2 linked regions of the Oryctolagus cuniculus genome follow. The protein of the gene in region 1 interacts with the protein of each later gene in a pairwise test. Links are inferred from orthologs where the notes say so. Each region holds a gene or a part of one and is shown in the gene's direction. Other genes may lie near its edges.

What was found.
Region 2: the proteins of KIF2A (region 1) and LARP1B interact in binary tests that used the Homo sapiens proteins (3 or more experiments, as listed by UniProt). The two-hybrid records come from large-scale screens. The link is inferred for Oryctolagus cuniculus from reciprocal best matches to the Homo sapiens genes KIF2A and LARP1B.

The regions. Positions count from the first base shown.
Region 1 is NC_091445.1:83,169,948-83,177,281, forward strand, and holds part of KIF2A (kinesin-like protein KIF2A), read left to right. Parts: intron 1-4,103; coding exon 4,104-4,198; intron 4,199-4,660; coding exon 4,661-4,780; intron 4,781-5,797; coding exon 5,798-5,852; intron 5,853-7,109; coding exon 7,110-7,232; intron 7,233-7,334. UniProt on the Homo sapiens protein: Plus end-directed microtubule-dependent motor required for normal brain development. May regulate microtubule dynamics during axonal growth. Required for normal progression through mitosis. Required for normal congress of chromosomes at the metaphase plate.
Region 2 is NC_091439.1:36,674,934-36,682,989, reverse strand, and holds the start of LARP1B (la-related protein 1B), read left to right. Parts: upstream 1-3,031; 5' UTR 3,032-3,316; coding exon 3,317-3,839; intron 3,840-4,020; exon of another isoform or gene 4,021-4,125; intron 4,126-7,248; exon of another isoform or gene 7,249-7,831; intron 7,832-8,056.

The DNA.
Region 1 (7,334 bases):
GCAGTAGTCGTGTGCCCTGCTGGTCCTTGTGAAGTAACTGAGGCGCTGAAGGTGAAGGTGGCTGCTAGGTCTCACCCTTACTCCTCCTGTTGTGCACACAGTGACTGAGGGAGGCAGGGTTTGACGCAGCATTTGTAGCTCCTCCTCACAGAATGGGATGGGGATTCTCCTGGCTCTTTGGGGTTCACCCTTCATTTTCACTACTAACTGAATTCATTCTTTTTCATTCTCTGGCAACTATGTGGATATGCTGTTACGATGTCCCTCTAAGAAAGAACATCATTTTCAGGGAGTAGGGGATACCTGACAGCTTCCAGCTGTTAGTGCCTTCTGGATCCTTAGCTTTTAGGGGGATACTTCACATTTCTTGGGAAGCCTCCAACAAAGCGCAGCAAGAGGGAGAGCATATCAGTTTGGCCAGTGCAGGACCTCTAAGGGGCAGTCTGCTCCAGAGCTCCCTGCCGTGTTGGCCAAGACTTGCTTAGATCTGCATCCAGGTCTGAGGCTTTGTCTACCCAGCCTGCTTCAAGTCCCCTTCCTTTCTTGGATTTCAGATCTGCATCCGTGTCCAGTGCTCTTTCTTCCTCCTTTTACCTTTTATCCTTATATCTTTCACTGTAATAATTTAGTAAATATGTTTATATATGAAATTACTATTAATTATTACAGTATATTTTAAATGATACCCTATGCCTTATTACAATAATATTGTCTTATGTACTACATACAAGGATCTTCAAAAAGTTCACAAGAAATGTGTATTATGAAGAAAACTGGCCGGCGCCGTGGCTCACTAGGCTAATCCTCCGCCTAGCGGCGCTGGCACACCGGGTTCTAGTCCCGGTCGGGGCGCTGGATTCTGTCCTGGTTGCCCCTCTTCCAGGCCAGCTCTCTGCTGTGGCCAGGGAGTGCAGTGGAGGATGGCCCAGGTGCTTGGGCCCTGCACCCCATGGGAGACCAGGAAAAGCACCTGGCTCCTGGCTCCTGCCGCGGCGGCCATTGGAGGGTGAACCAACGGCAAAAGGAAGATCTTTCTCTCTGTCTCTCTCTCTCACTGTCCACTCTGCCTGTCAAAAAAAAAAAAAAAAAAAAAAAAAGAAGAAGAAGAAGAAAACTATGCATAAATATACATTTTTACACCTAAATAAACTAATTCAGTTTTCCACAAACTTTTTGGAGGACCTGCATATCTTTTATTTTAGACATTTAAAGAGCTGTAAATTATCCTAAAGTAAATTATAGGTACCCTAAGTATTTCATTAGGAAATTCATATGAAAATTTCGTGTTAAACATTTTATTAGGTTATATTGAGGATACAGATATAGACAGAGTTCCTACCTTTTGCTGACTGCTAAATAGAAGAATAAGTGGAAATTGATGAAATAAGTAAAAATGTGCATGTTTATGAATTTGTTCTAAGGAAATAATTGACAAATGTATAATAACAGATATATAGTAGTATTCATTGCATTGGGTTTTTTTTTTTTAAGATTTATTTATTTACTTGAAAGTCAGAGTTACACAGAGAGAAAAGGATAGAGAGAGAGAGGTCTTCTGCCCGCTGGTTCACTCCCCAATTGGCTGCAAAAGCCGGAGCTTCTCCAATCCAAAGCCAGGAGCCAAGAGACTTCTCCAGGTCTCCCAAAGGGGTGCAGGGCCCAAAGACTTGGACCATCTTCTACTGCTTTCCCAGGCCATACCAGAGAGCTGGATCAGAAGTGGAGCAGCCGGGACTCAAACCAGTGCCCATATGGGATGCCAGCACTATAGGCAGTGGCTTTATTTTTTTTTTTTTTAGATAGATTTTATTCATTCATTTATTTATTTGAAAGGCAATGTCACAGAGAGGCAGAGGTAGAGAGAGGTCTTCCATCTCTGGTTTATTCCCCAGATGGCCACAATGGCAGGAGCTGTGCCAATCCAAAGCCAGAAGCTTCCTCTGGGTCTCCCATGCAGGTGCAGGGGTCCAAGCACTTGGGCCATCTTCTGGATTCCCAGGCCATAGGAGAGAGCTGTATCCGAAGTGGAACAGCCAGGACTTGAACTGTCGTCCATATGGGATGCATATGCAGGCGGTTGCTTACCCACTATGCCAAAGCGCTGGCCTCAGTTGCATTGTTTATAATAGTAAAAACATTGCAGGGTGGGCATTTAGGGTAGCAGTTAAGATTCTCGTATCTCACATGAGAGTTAGGTTAGGGGTGACTCCTGACTCCTGACTGTCGCTCCCCCATTCATGGAGGAACGACACTAGACCCTGCGCTGTTCTTTTGTCTGCTCGGCCCTTCCCGGGTTTGCTGCTGGTCCTTCCCGGGTTGGCTGCCGACCCCTCCACCTCCGTGGAGGGGCGGCTCCCCCTGCCACTTTCCCCGCTTCTGCGGGGGAGCGGCACACCGCCGGCCGGCTCTCTCGGGGGCTGCTCAGATGTTATCCGGATGTTCCTGGTGCATGTTGTCTCTCTCCTCCTTTATAGTCCTCTTCCACCAATCCCAACTCTGCTACCCACACGCCGAGCACGCTGCTCTCCTCCAATCAGGAGCAAGATCAGCTCCTGCAGCTCATCAGTCAAGTTGGCGAGAGGCAGCTGTGTAGAAATTGTTTTCTCCTCTCCCAGTGCCATATTGTGGGAGAGCAGATGCATAGAATAAGTCTTAATTCCAGTAACTTAGTCTAGTCCGAGTTGCTCCCCACACCTGACTTCAGTGGCTTCCTGCTAATCCAGCAGTGAAGGTGCAAGTGATTGGTTTACCACCATCTAGGTCAAGTTACTAGCTCCCAGTTTTGAATAAAGTCCAGGCCTAGCAATTACAGGCACTTGGGAAGGGTCTCTCTCTCTCCCCCCTCTCAGATAAATAAATAAATGATAATAATTAAAAATCTCCTGGGAACGAACCTTGAAAACATTAAAAACCAAAAGGTTAACATTCTTGTGATAAATATAATGGAATATTAGGTAATAATTTAAAATTATTTAGCTATATAGTATTTTTTAAGATTTTATTTATTTATTTGAGAGGTAGAATTACAGAGAGAGACAGAGAGAAAGGTCTTCCATTGCTTGGTTTACTCCCCAGAAGGCCACAATGGCAGGAGCTGGGCCATTCCAAAGCCAGGAGCAGATAGTTCTTCCGGGTCTCCCATGCAGGTGCAGGGGCCCAAACACTTGGGCCATCTTCCACTGCTTTCCCAGGCCATAGCAGAGAGCTGTATCGGAAGAAGAGCAGCTGGGACATGAACTGGTGCCCATATGGGATGCCGGCACTGCAGGCTTAGCCTACTATGCCACAGCACTGGCCCCGGCTCTATAGTTGTTAACCAGTAAGATATACAATCTTTTAAGAGTGGGAAAGCGAAGACTGGAGTGGTCAGGCAAAGTAAGGAGTAAAATAGATTTAGATAGATAACGTCTAAAAGAGAACATTTGATTTTTTTAAAATTTTATTTATTACTTTAATTACAGAAACACAGAAATATCCCATCCACTGTTTCACTCCTCAAATGCCTACAACAGCTAGCTGAAGCTTGTCGGGCTGAAGTCAGGAGCCTAGAACTCAGTTCAGGTCTCACACATGGGCAGCAGTGTCCCAGTTACTCAAGCAATCACTAGTGCCTCCTCAGGTGCACATGGGCTCTGCTATCCCATATCAAGGCACTGGTTCAGGATCCCGCCCCCTGCTGGTATGCCCGGGAAAGGAGCAGATGAGCCAAGTACTGGGGCCCCTTCCATGCGGGAGACTTGGGTGGTGCTCCTGACTTTGGACTAGCCCAGCCCCTGCCTTTCTGGCTATTTGAGGAGTGAACCATCAGATCAAGACCTCTTGTTCTTTGTCTCTTCGCTAGCTCTCTGTCACACTGCCTTTCAAATGACTATTTTGAGAATATATAAAACAATCTCATCGGTTTGCACAGTATGGGATAAAAAATAATTTTTTAAAAATGATGAGTGAAAATATATAAGTATAGTATTAAATTGGCTTATGATTTTTTTCTGTGTTCGGTAGTCATTTATTAAATCATTTTTTAAGTTATAAAAATATATCTGACAGTGTTTAGGAATGCCGTAATTTGTAGCTTTAAAAATATGTATTTTATTCCCACTTAGGCCGAATACATCAAGCAATGGTAACATCTTTAAATGAAGATAATGAAAGTGTAACTGTTGAATGGATAGAAAATGGAGATACAAAAGGCAAAGAGGTATGATCATTAAGTTAAATTCTATTTGTAGTCCTGCAGTCAAGAAAACACAAAAATGTGTACCTTTCATATAGTATGTGTATTCTTTATAATTTCTTGAAAATTTTGAAATGATTAAACTTTTCAATCAGATTCTTTCTTACATACCTTTTGTAATTGCACATGTCACTCCTATTATACTAGATGAAATATACTATTTTAACCCAACTCAAAACATTTGAAAGTTACTGTAAAACTAATTGGTTCTGTTGGTCACTGTGTTAGCTATTTATATAATCAGATTATATACTATTTTAAGAGATATATTTTAAATATATATGGACTATAATTATAAATAATTATTTTGCAAAGCAATGCCATTCATTATGCTGAACTCATTTAAGAATTACTCTGTCTAAATTTATTTCAAAAATAAAAGATTAATTTGTCAAAATACTCTTTTACAATATCAATTTTAAATAGATTGACCTGGAAAGCATCTTTTCACTTAATCCTGACCTCGTACCTGATGAAGAAATTGAACCCAGTCCAGAAGTGGCTCCACCTCCAACATCTTCATCCAAAGTAAACAAAATTGTAAAGGTTGGTGTGATGAAATTTAGAGGAAGGAGTGTGTGTGTGTGTGTGTATACACAAGTGTGCACTGCTTTGAAATTGGTATGCTGTGGAGAGTAGATTTAAAGGATTTATTGGTTTGCTTTTTTAATATTTATTTATTTGAAAATCAGAGTTACACAGAGAAGGAGAGGCAGAAAGAGAGAAAGAGAGTCTTCCATCTCTGATTCGCTCCCCAGTTGGACTCCATGGCTGGAGCTGCACCGATCTGAAGCCAGGAGCCAGGAGCTTCTTCTAGATCTCCCACACGGGTGCAGAAGCCCAAGGACTTGGGCCATCTTCCACTGCTTTCCCAGGCCATAGCAGATAGCTGGATCGGAGAGGAGTAGCCAGGACTCGAACTGGCACCCATATGGGATGTTGGCGCTGCAGCTGGGGCTTTAACCCACTGCACCATAAGCACAGTTAATAATAAGTCCTTAGAATAGGGCCCGGCTCATATTAATTTCTGAATGTTATTTGGGTGTGGGGGAGGAAGAAAAATATATAAAGGAACCTGACTTGATAGCTATGGAAGTAACTCATCAGAAAATTTTGAGGTTTTTTTTTTTTTTTTTTTTTTTTCAATTTCATTTTATTTTACTATATGTCTGCTTTTTGTTTAATTAAAAGAATATGAAATCCTGGCCTGTGCCGCGGCTCACTAAGCTAATCCTCTGCCTGTGGCGCCGGCACTCTGGATTCTAGTCCGGTTGGGGCACTGGCTTCTGTCCTGGTTTCTCCTCTTCCAGTCCAGCTCTCCGCTGTGGCCTGGGAGTGCAGTGGAGGATGACCCAAGTGCTTGGGCCCTGCACCCGCGTGGGAGACCAGGAGGAAGCACCTGGCTCCTGGCTTCAGATCGACGTAGCTCCAGCGTAGCAGCCATTTGAGGGGTGAACCAACAGAAGGAAGACCTTTCTCTCTGTCTCACTAACTCTGCCTGTCAAAGAATATGAAATCCTGGCATGAAGAGAAAAAATAGAGCAAACTTTTTTTCTTTTGTAGAATCGACGAACTGTGGCTTCTATTAAAAATGACCCTCCCCCAAGAGATAACAGAGGTAAAGTAAAAATTTATCTCTTAATTTGCCTGTCTACTTCTTAGTATGTCCTTAATAAGGAAAACCAAAAGTAAATACTGGAACAGGTGTGTGGTGCAGAGTTCAGAATGTTGCTTAGGATCTTATTGTCTCCTTCTTTCCCTCTTTTGCCTTTCCCTCTCTGTCTCTTGGCTTTCAATAAATAAAAGTAAATTTTAAAAAATTACTTAAACATCCTTGATGTTGTTATTCATTTAAATTTATGTGATTCATTTTAAAATGTGGTATCTTCCTGATATCCTAGTGCAGTGATGTCCATAAAAAAAGATGACTTATAAATGGCTGTGATGAATATAAACCCCATTAAATGTCATCTTTTATTAATTTCAACTACTCAGTATATTTGAAGAGAGTGTATGAGAAGGAAAGCAGTTGGCAAGGAGTCAGTTGATAGAATTTCCAAGAATGTATTTAATCTTCACATTTGCCATGATTTTCTGGCTAAAGGGCTTCCAAAAAAGGATAATGGTTAGCTTTGGAATCAGTTACAGAGTTTAATTGGCATAAATTGTAGTTAACTACAAGTCTTCCGTATTCAGCCATAAGATGTAAAGCGTAATTAATTTCTACATTTAACCATTCAGAAGTACCCTTTCTGATAATGTTTCTGTGTGTCTTTGGCTAGTCAAACAGGACCGCCAGAGGGAGTAGAGGAGACCTTAGAGGTAGAGGAAAAGTCTTTCCTTTAAAGACTATCTGAGTCTTCTGAAAAATTGCATTTCTTTGTAAAATGTGTTATTTATATTTAATTTTAGATTCCTTTTTCCAATTTTATAACATCTACATTGGGAAATACCTATATTCTCTACTGAAGATTTATGTTTGAGGAATAAAGAATAATATTGGAATATTGGAAGCAATGAAGGAATTTTCAGTTCTATGTTCTATATATCTAAATAGTGTCAATCAATTTTTAAGTGCTTATTAAAAATCATGTTTGACTTTGGTTTTTATGTAAATTATCCAGGTTGAGTATTACAGCTAAAATTGCATTGGTGGAAGGTAAGTCTGTGCATAGTATTTTGAAAACCTCTTTCAGTTTATGTCAGTTTATTGGACAGAAACTGCCTATATTCTCTTAACGCATATATAAGTAGGAAACTTGGTAATCTGCTAATGCAGCATTTAAGTTTCAGATTCTTTTAGGTGTGTCTTCTTTTTACCAAGGTCAAATTTTACTAATTTTCTGTTTTTTAATTTAAATTTTTTCACACACAGTGGTTGGTTCTGCACGTGCACGGCCTAGTCAGCTTCCTGAGCAGTCGTCTTCTGCACAACAGAATGGTAGTGTTTCAGATATATCTCCAGTTCAAGCTGCAAAAAAGGAATTTGGACCCCCTTGTATGTAAATTACATATCAAAGAATTCAGTCATTTTAGACATACATGTATTCTCTCTTGGTCACCTTTATATATAAGTCCCCAAATGGTAAACAGAATCATT
Region 2 (8,056 bases), on another chromosome or scaffold:
CTAGGCCATAGCAGAGAGTGGGATCAGAAGAGGAACAACTGGGACATGAACTAGTGCCCATATGGGATGCCAGCGCTGCAGGCCAAGGTTTAGCCTACTCTGCCACAGCACTGGCCCCTATTTCGAAGTTACTAAAAGGGCTATTTACAGAGATGTGGGCATGGTCGTGGAAATCAACAAGGGACAAGGCAGTACCCCATGGACTGGTAGGGTACCCCAGGCCATTAAAATAAAAGGAAGGAGTGGAGAGGGTAAGAGTACTGAGAAAGTCCAGTAGCCATGTGACTCAGCTGTGGGAATGACCATGACCTTACTATTTTTTGGCCTACAGTGTCCTGCAGATAATTCCCACTGCCAGAACCCATGCCGATACCAAGTAGGACAAAGGAGCCCATTGGTGCAATCTCAACAGGTTAGCCCTCCCTGGCACTAGAGCAGGGGGAGAGGGTGGAGAGTGGATATGGAGGGGCAACAACAAGATAGGTGAGGGTGTTTCAAAGAGGAAGTTATGGGGACACAGGAGTTACTTGTATGCATTTGAAAGGGAGACAAATACCAATTCCCTTCACTGAGTTAGTGGTGCACACTGCAGTCTGATTCTGAACACTCAGTCATCCTCCAGTTCTTCCTTCTCTGCAAGCAAACCATGTTTCCATTAAAAAAAAAAAAGCTCTCCATTAATCCTTCCCCTTTACCTAAGAAATCCCTATATGACTTTTCACTTAAAAAGATGACAATGAAAAAAATGAAGCAACCATGGTTAGGTAGCCCATGTAAATCAAACTTGGGAGAACCAATCCATATTACCTTTTCTCAACTGACTCACCAGTCTTTAATCCATGTGTATTTGAATAGAGAGTAAAATAACGTGTTCTGAGTCACAGTCACAGTGAACTTGTTGATAGGCTTTTGTAAAAGGAGGCAAGGATTACCTGGCAGGACTCCAAAGGGCTGATTACAACAAGAACAAGTTGGTAGTTTGTTTTTTTTTTTTTTTTTTTTTAAGATTCATTTATTTATTTGAAAGAGCTACACGGCGGGGGGGGGGGGGGGGTCGGTCTTCCATCTGATGGTTCACTCCACAATTGGCTGCAACAGCTGGTCTCCTACGTGGGTGCAGGGGCCCAAGGACTTGGGCCGTCTTGTACTGCTTTCCCAGGTCATAGCAGAGAGCTGGATCGGATGTGGAGCAGCCTGGTCTTAAACTGGCGCCCATATGGGATGCTGGCGCTTCGGGCCAGGACATTAACCTGCTGCCCCGTAGCACCGGCCCCGGTAGTTAAAAACACAAAGCTTTACTCATAACAGAGCTGGTAAAAGTGTCCCATCTCAGGGATATAGATGGAAGTAAAATTCTCACTTAATCACAACTGGATTCAGGAGGTGGATAAGGGTCTGATAAATTAGAGATTACTGATATGGAACACAAGTCTTATTGTTTATAGCTGCTGAATAAATAGATTATTAGCCTTAGGGAAATAATTTAAGTTAAAAACAAAAAGTGGGTAAAGCCGCTGCCTGCAGTGCCGGCATCCCAAATGGGTGTTGGTTCAAGACCCAGCTGCTCTGCTTCCAACCCAGCTCTCTGCTATGGCCTGGGAAAACAGTAGAAGATGGCCCAAGTCCTTGGGCCCCTGCACCCACGTGGGAGACCCTGAAGAAGCTCCTGGCTATTGGCTCCTGATCCAGGCAGCTCTGGACGTTGTGGCCAATTGGAGGAGTGAACCAGCAATGGAAGACCTCTCTCTCTCTCTGCCTTTCTCTGTGTAACCCTTTCAAATAAATAAATCAATCTTTAAAAAAAGCGAAAAGCAAACAAAAAAACACCCCGTAACCTCAAATTTAATGTGATTTAAGTGAAACCCAAGGGAGGTGGGAATCCCAGACATTATATGTGCGTGGTTTGGCAGCCTTAAAGGAACCAGGAAGAATTCCTCCCAAATCCTTACAGGGGTGGGGGAAGGGCTGAGAAAAAAAAATCTGATTGAATTGAATCTCTGCTCAGAGACCTTGTACCCGCACATAAACATTAACTCATAAATAAACGCACATAAAACCAGTATCATGTCTAACTGAATTTGAGAGCCATACAGAAGCTCCTATCGGATTTATCATCAAAAAATTTGTACTACTTTAAAATTCATTCTAGTGAAAAAATATAATTCGTCATCAAGTGTTAGTCCTTCAAATTATAGGGATACTGAATAAAAAAGTTCAAAAGCGAAATATTAGCTGTTTCACACAAGGGCGCTTTAAAAATATTTCAGTTTGTGGGTGGGAATCAGGGCAGGGAAGTGCAGTAACTCAAATTTCGGGGCAAAGGTTTCATAAACAATTACCTACAGATAACACCGCTTTCACTGCGTTCCTGGCTCCAGATTCCAGGTCACCGCGATGCCCCCGAAGCGCCAGGGAGGGAACTTTCACCGCGCTAAGGCGCTGGGCGCAAAGGGCACAGCGGCCCGGTCGGAGACCCCGGCCCACGCGGGGGCACCCGGTGCTGGTGGGGGTGGCGGCCAGCACCGCCCCAGCGCCCTTCGCCCAGGGGCCACTCGGTCCCGGAGCCTAAGGGCAAATCGCCCGGCGGCTCCCCCAGCGCCACGTGCGCCACCCGCCCCGCACCGCGCCCGGGTGGCGGTCGTCGCCGCCGCGGGAGCCGAGCGCGAGCCCGCCGGCGAGTCATAGAGGGCCGGCGGGCGCCCCGCCCCTGCGCTCACAGCCCGGGCGACCGTCACCCGCGAGCCGGGAATCGCCCGGTGCGCCCTCCTTCCCCTCGGCGGGCCGCTGGGCGGGGCCGGCCCTCAGGGCGGGCGGCCACCTCGCGCAGCGCGGCGGCGGCGGCGGCGGCGGCCGGGGTCGGGGAGCAGCCACGTCACGCTCCGCGAGGAGGTCCCGCCCCGCCCCTCGGCCCGCCTCCGCATGCCGCCGCCCCGCCCCTCGAGCAGTTACCGGCGCGAGCGGCTTGCGCCTCCAGACGCCGCTAAAGGTCCTCCAGCCCGGCTGCCGGCTCCTCCGCAGCTGCCCGCGCCAGGTGAGGGCTCGCGGCTCCCGGCTGCGGCGCCCGGCGCGTGTTAGCTGGCTCTGGGCGTGCGCCGCCGACGAGGGCTGGGCCGGCGGGCGGTTAGCGCTCCGTTCGACGCGGGCCGGCACGCCGGGCGCTGCGCGGCCTCGGCGGGCGGCGGTGGCGGCGACGGCGGCCGGGCTCTCGGGTTCTGTGCCCCAGGCCGGCGCTAGTCGGTGCCCCGGCGGAGCGACGGGCACCCGGGCTCCCTGGCCCCGGGCCCCCCCCGGCTGGGGTGGCTGGGGCAAGGGGACGATGTCTGCTCGCGCCCCGGTGCCCGCCGTTCACTCTCGGGAGGATCCGCCCGCGGCGGCCGCAGAGAGGGAGTCGCGGTTGGCCGCGGCAAGCCGGCAGGCCGAGCAGCCGCCCCCGCCGGATCGAGACGGGAAGGAGGCGGCGAGGGAGGAAAGGGCCGCGGCCAGCACCAGCGCGGGGGCGCGGGGAGAGCCGTCTCCGGTGCCAGTGCTGGGACACAGCGTGCCCCAGGCGGCCGTGCCCGTGAGGCCCCTGTCCCTGCACCTGGCGCACAAGGCGCGCGGGCCCGGGGGCCCCTTCGGCGGGGAGCCGCTGCCACCGCCGCCGCGGGAGCCGCCGGCCGAGGACGCCCGAGATGAGGCGGCAGCGGCCGGCCCCGAGGAAAAGCTGCCGCCGCCGCCACTGCCACCACCACCGCCGCCGCTGCCGCCTAAGGAAAACCCCTGGACCAAAAAGCCTCCCCAGCACCTGTCCCCCGCCGGGACGGGCCCGCCGCCGCCCCCGCTGGAGACTCTGGAGGCAGGTCTGTGGCTTCTCCGCGGGGGGCTCGGGGAGGGTGCGGAGGGGCGACTCCTGGACTTGGCCGCGCGGGGCTGGGGGAGGGGCGGGCCCGGCTTCCCTGTCAGTCGAAGGTATTTCTTGCCAAGGTGTCATTCACGATACCCATTTACATAAATGGACATGTGGGAAGGGAGCGACAGGAAGAGGTGGGACCTCAGGTTCTCTTTGACTGATGGGGGCACGGAGGGGGTAAACTTGGCAGCGCGGCCCCGCTGGCGCGGCCCAGAACTGTGTGAATGAGTGACTCGGTAAAGTAGCTTTAACTTTGGATCGTCAGCGCGGTTCATTCTAGGGGGGAAATTTGGGCGGATTTGTAAATAGATTTACAGCAAGTTGGAGCAAAGGAGATTTATTTCCAAGTGGAAATGCGATTGTGATGTTTTGTTGATAAAACGGAAAAAAAAATCAAGGTTTTCAGAACACTGCTAAGGAGTCATTGAACATGAGACCCTGAGTGTGGTGGCTCATAAAGTGCTTTGGGCGATGATTGTGAGTGAAAATAATTGAAACAGGATAGTTTGACACAGGAGAGAGAATTGCACGTTAGGGAAATTGTGATCTAACATTCTGTGAGCTCTTATTCCCTTTTGAGATTAGATTGTGTGGTCAGCATTTGAATGCTGATCTATGCAGTATGGCCCTTGGTGCTTTATTTTGGTTGCAGCAACTACCCTGGTTGTTTTAAAAATGGAAAAGCTAGATAAAATGAAAAGGCAGTGTCTTTCATTTTTGCCATGTTAAATTATAATGAATTAATTGAGCTTTTGTGTAGACATAACAGCTGTTTTCTTGCAAGGCTTTGCTACTTAAATTTAAAGGTTAACAGTGGAACAGAAAAAAATTTGAACACTTTTACGGGGTTGTGAGAATCAAATGAGATGAAGGATGTGGTGGTATAAAACATAAGGCGGTTGTTGTAAACCCACGTTTCTTCCCAGGAACTCCAGTAGAGGGAGATAAGTGTTGACTTCACTGAATTCTTTAGTTTTTGTACAGAAATGCACTTCCTTCCTTCGTTGTTCATTAATTTCCATAGTTGGAGCAAACATTAAAATTGGCTGTAGGTTTAATATTAGTGTAATTCCCTGCTGCCTGTTACTTATTGAAGAGAGTAAAATTTAGCAAAGAAAGCAAAATCTGAATGGCTGTCTTACCTCCCTACTTCTAACCTTAATTATACATTATATCGGGTAAACACCAGAAAATGAATTCTTGATTGGTTGTAAAACCAATTTTACAGGTTTTAAGACTTAAAAGTGACTTGGGGGTTTTAATTGCAAATGATTGGTGAAAATATTTCAGTTTAATGTCCTAACAGGTGCCTTCCTACTCCAGTGTTCATTGAAGATTAAGAATTAGGTGATCCTTGATGTATGGTGGGATTCACGAAGTTTCGGTTTTGTTGATGTTTCTGTAGGAAACACTTTGTGTCTTTGGAATCCATTCTGTGCACCCAGGAATACTGTTACTCTTACTGGAAGCAGTGTATTAACTATAGTCTTTGTCCAGTGTGGCCTGCACTGTTCTACAACTTTTATTTGCAGTTGAGTAACTTAGCTAATTTAGATAAGAGGTTGTGATGTAGGAATGCACTGTGCTGAGACACTTGGGTACTCACTAACTAGTTGACTTCTGGCAAGATTTTTGGGCTTTGTAAATGGATAAGTTTCCTAATACCAGAGAACCATCTGTATATTTACCTGTGTACTTTAACTTCCTATTTTCCTAAACAAGTTTATAACTTCAAGAATAAAGAAGGTTATTTAGGGTTTAGAGTAGGTACAAACCAAGAAGTGTTAAATTAGTAATTTATTGGTAGGGTACTTGTAAAAGTTAATCTACAAAACAGAATACTCAGAAAGGGAAGCATATTAATCATGCTTTAGCAACAGAGTTAAGCCAGGTTTGTTTTGGCTGAACGGGGACCTTCTGTTATTCTGCTAATGAGGTAAAGGAATTCTGTGCCCAGAATTTTGCCAGAAAATTTATTACCGAGGTTGGAAACATAGGGGAGTATTTCAGGGGATAAATCTTGAATTTTCTCTGTATTAGTACCTGCAGACCTAAATGAAGTGGGCTCTTGATATCTTTGTGAGACTTTCTTCCACTTGTAGGGTGTTCTGGAGTGTATTGATGTTGTTTAGAGATCCAGGGAAGGCACTCAGCCAAAGCCTGACCCATCTGAGAGGCTTAGTGCCCTTGCTGTCTTGAATTCAGTTAGGAGACCAGAAAGAACTTGGCCTAATCTGTGTCTTCATGTTGTGTTAAAATAATTTTATTTATATTGGAGACTTTTTAAAATCATAATATGGAATTTATTAATCACTTGTAGCTATGATTTTATTTTACATGTTAAAAATCTGCTTTCTAATTTCCTTTCTTTCACTCACAAAAACATAATATCTAAAAATTTTTTTCTTCTATTTCAGCTTTATTCTATTTTGATCCTATATTGATTGCTCATTAATTCTCTTTTCTCCCAATGTCTACTTCTCAGAAATCTCAATTATGTTACTCTTATTACTCTAATGAAATAACAGTTAAATTATGTAAGTAATCCATAAATATATTCTATAAAAATAGAACTTCGGATGTCCCTCTCCTTCAAAGAAAGTAATCACCCGTTTACCAAATATCTTTTCAGGACTTCCTATGACGTTGCTTCTAAATATGTTCTGTATATGTGTTTAGAACATAAAATGTCTATTTTTTAAGTGTTAATTGATCCTTTTTAATCTAAATTTCTTTCAAAAATTGCAGAAGAGTAGTCCATTAACTTAGCAAATAGGTTCCATTTTCTTATTTAAATGGAGACAATTAGCATTTTTATGCATACCTCTTGGGATGCTGGTATGCCTTTGTCTAGGGTAGATGCTGAGAAATGGAACAGTTTGGTCACAGGGCTGTTCTATGCAAATTGATACTTTTACTATATGGGAGTATGAGAATGGAGTCTATACATTGTTAAACATTTAAAACACTCACTGTGGTGGGGCTGGCACTGTCACATAGGGGGTAAAGCCACAGCCTGCAGTGCAGGCATCCCATATGGGCACCAGTTCAAGTCACGGCTGTTCTTCCAGTGTCCTGGGAAAGCAGTATAAGATGGCCCAACCAAGTCTTTGGGCTCCTGCACCTGCTTGGGAGACCTGGAAGAAGCTCCAGGCTCCTGGCTTCGAATCAGTGCAGCCCTGCCTGTTGGGGCCATTTGGGGAGTGAAACTGCAGATAGAAGACCTCTTTCTTTACCTCTGCCTTTCAAGCAAATAAATCTTTGGGGGAAAAGAATTCACTATGGCAAAAGGGCACTTTACCACATTTCCCCCCTCAAATGATAAAATCATGTGAAATACTATCAATGCTTTTTTTTTTTTTTTTTTTTTTTTGGACAGGCAGAGTGGACAGTGAGAGAGAGAGACAGAGAGAAAGGTCTTCCTTTTGCCGTTGATTCACCCTCCAATGGCCGCCGCGGCTGGCGCAATGCATTCTCTTAAACTCTGCTGCACTGAAGTTTTCGTTTAGAGAATTGAAGCTCTAAAAAATTTCCCACAGTTTAAGAATAATGTTTTAAAGATACTGGAATATTCCTCAAAAAAGCATCTCATCCAATGGTTTTTAAAAGGTAGACACATGTGGGTAACACAGCATGTGTATTTTATATATATTTGGAGGCACTGGTACCTTAAATTTGTTTTTAGGTCTGTCTTTTTTTTTTTTAAATTGTTGTATTTGAAACAGTAGCACACACATACACGCAGATTTTCCTTAAGGTGGTTCACTCCCCAGTTGGTCACAATGGCCAGGAGCTTTATCTGGGCCTCCCATGTGGGTGGCAGGGACCCAAGCTCTTGGACCATTTTCTGCAGGTTTTCCCAGGCATATTAGCAGGGAGCTGGAACAGAAGTGGAGCAGCAGGGACAGAAACTGGAACCCATATGGAATGCCAGCTTTGCAGGTGATGGCTTTATACACGGGCTATAGCACCATGCTGATACTTTGCAGTTCGTTAAAGTTGTATTCGTATTTATACTTTAGGTATTGGATTTTTTTTGTATTTTAAGATGTATATATGTGCATATGAGAAGAGTATTTCATTAAGAAAAAGTAGTTGCAGTAGGAAAACATATAGGTACAGAGGAGAAAACAAGAAGCCTGTGAGCAAGGAAAAGACCTAAATTAC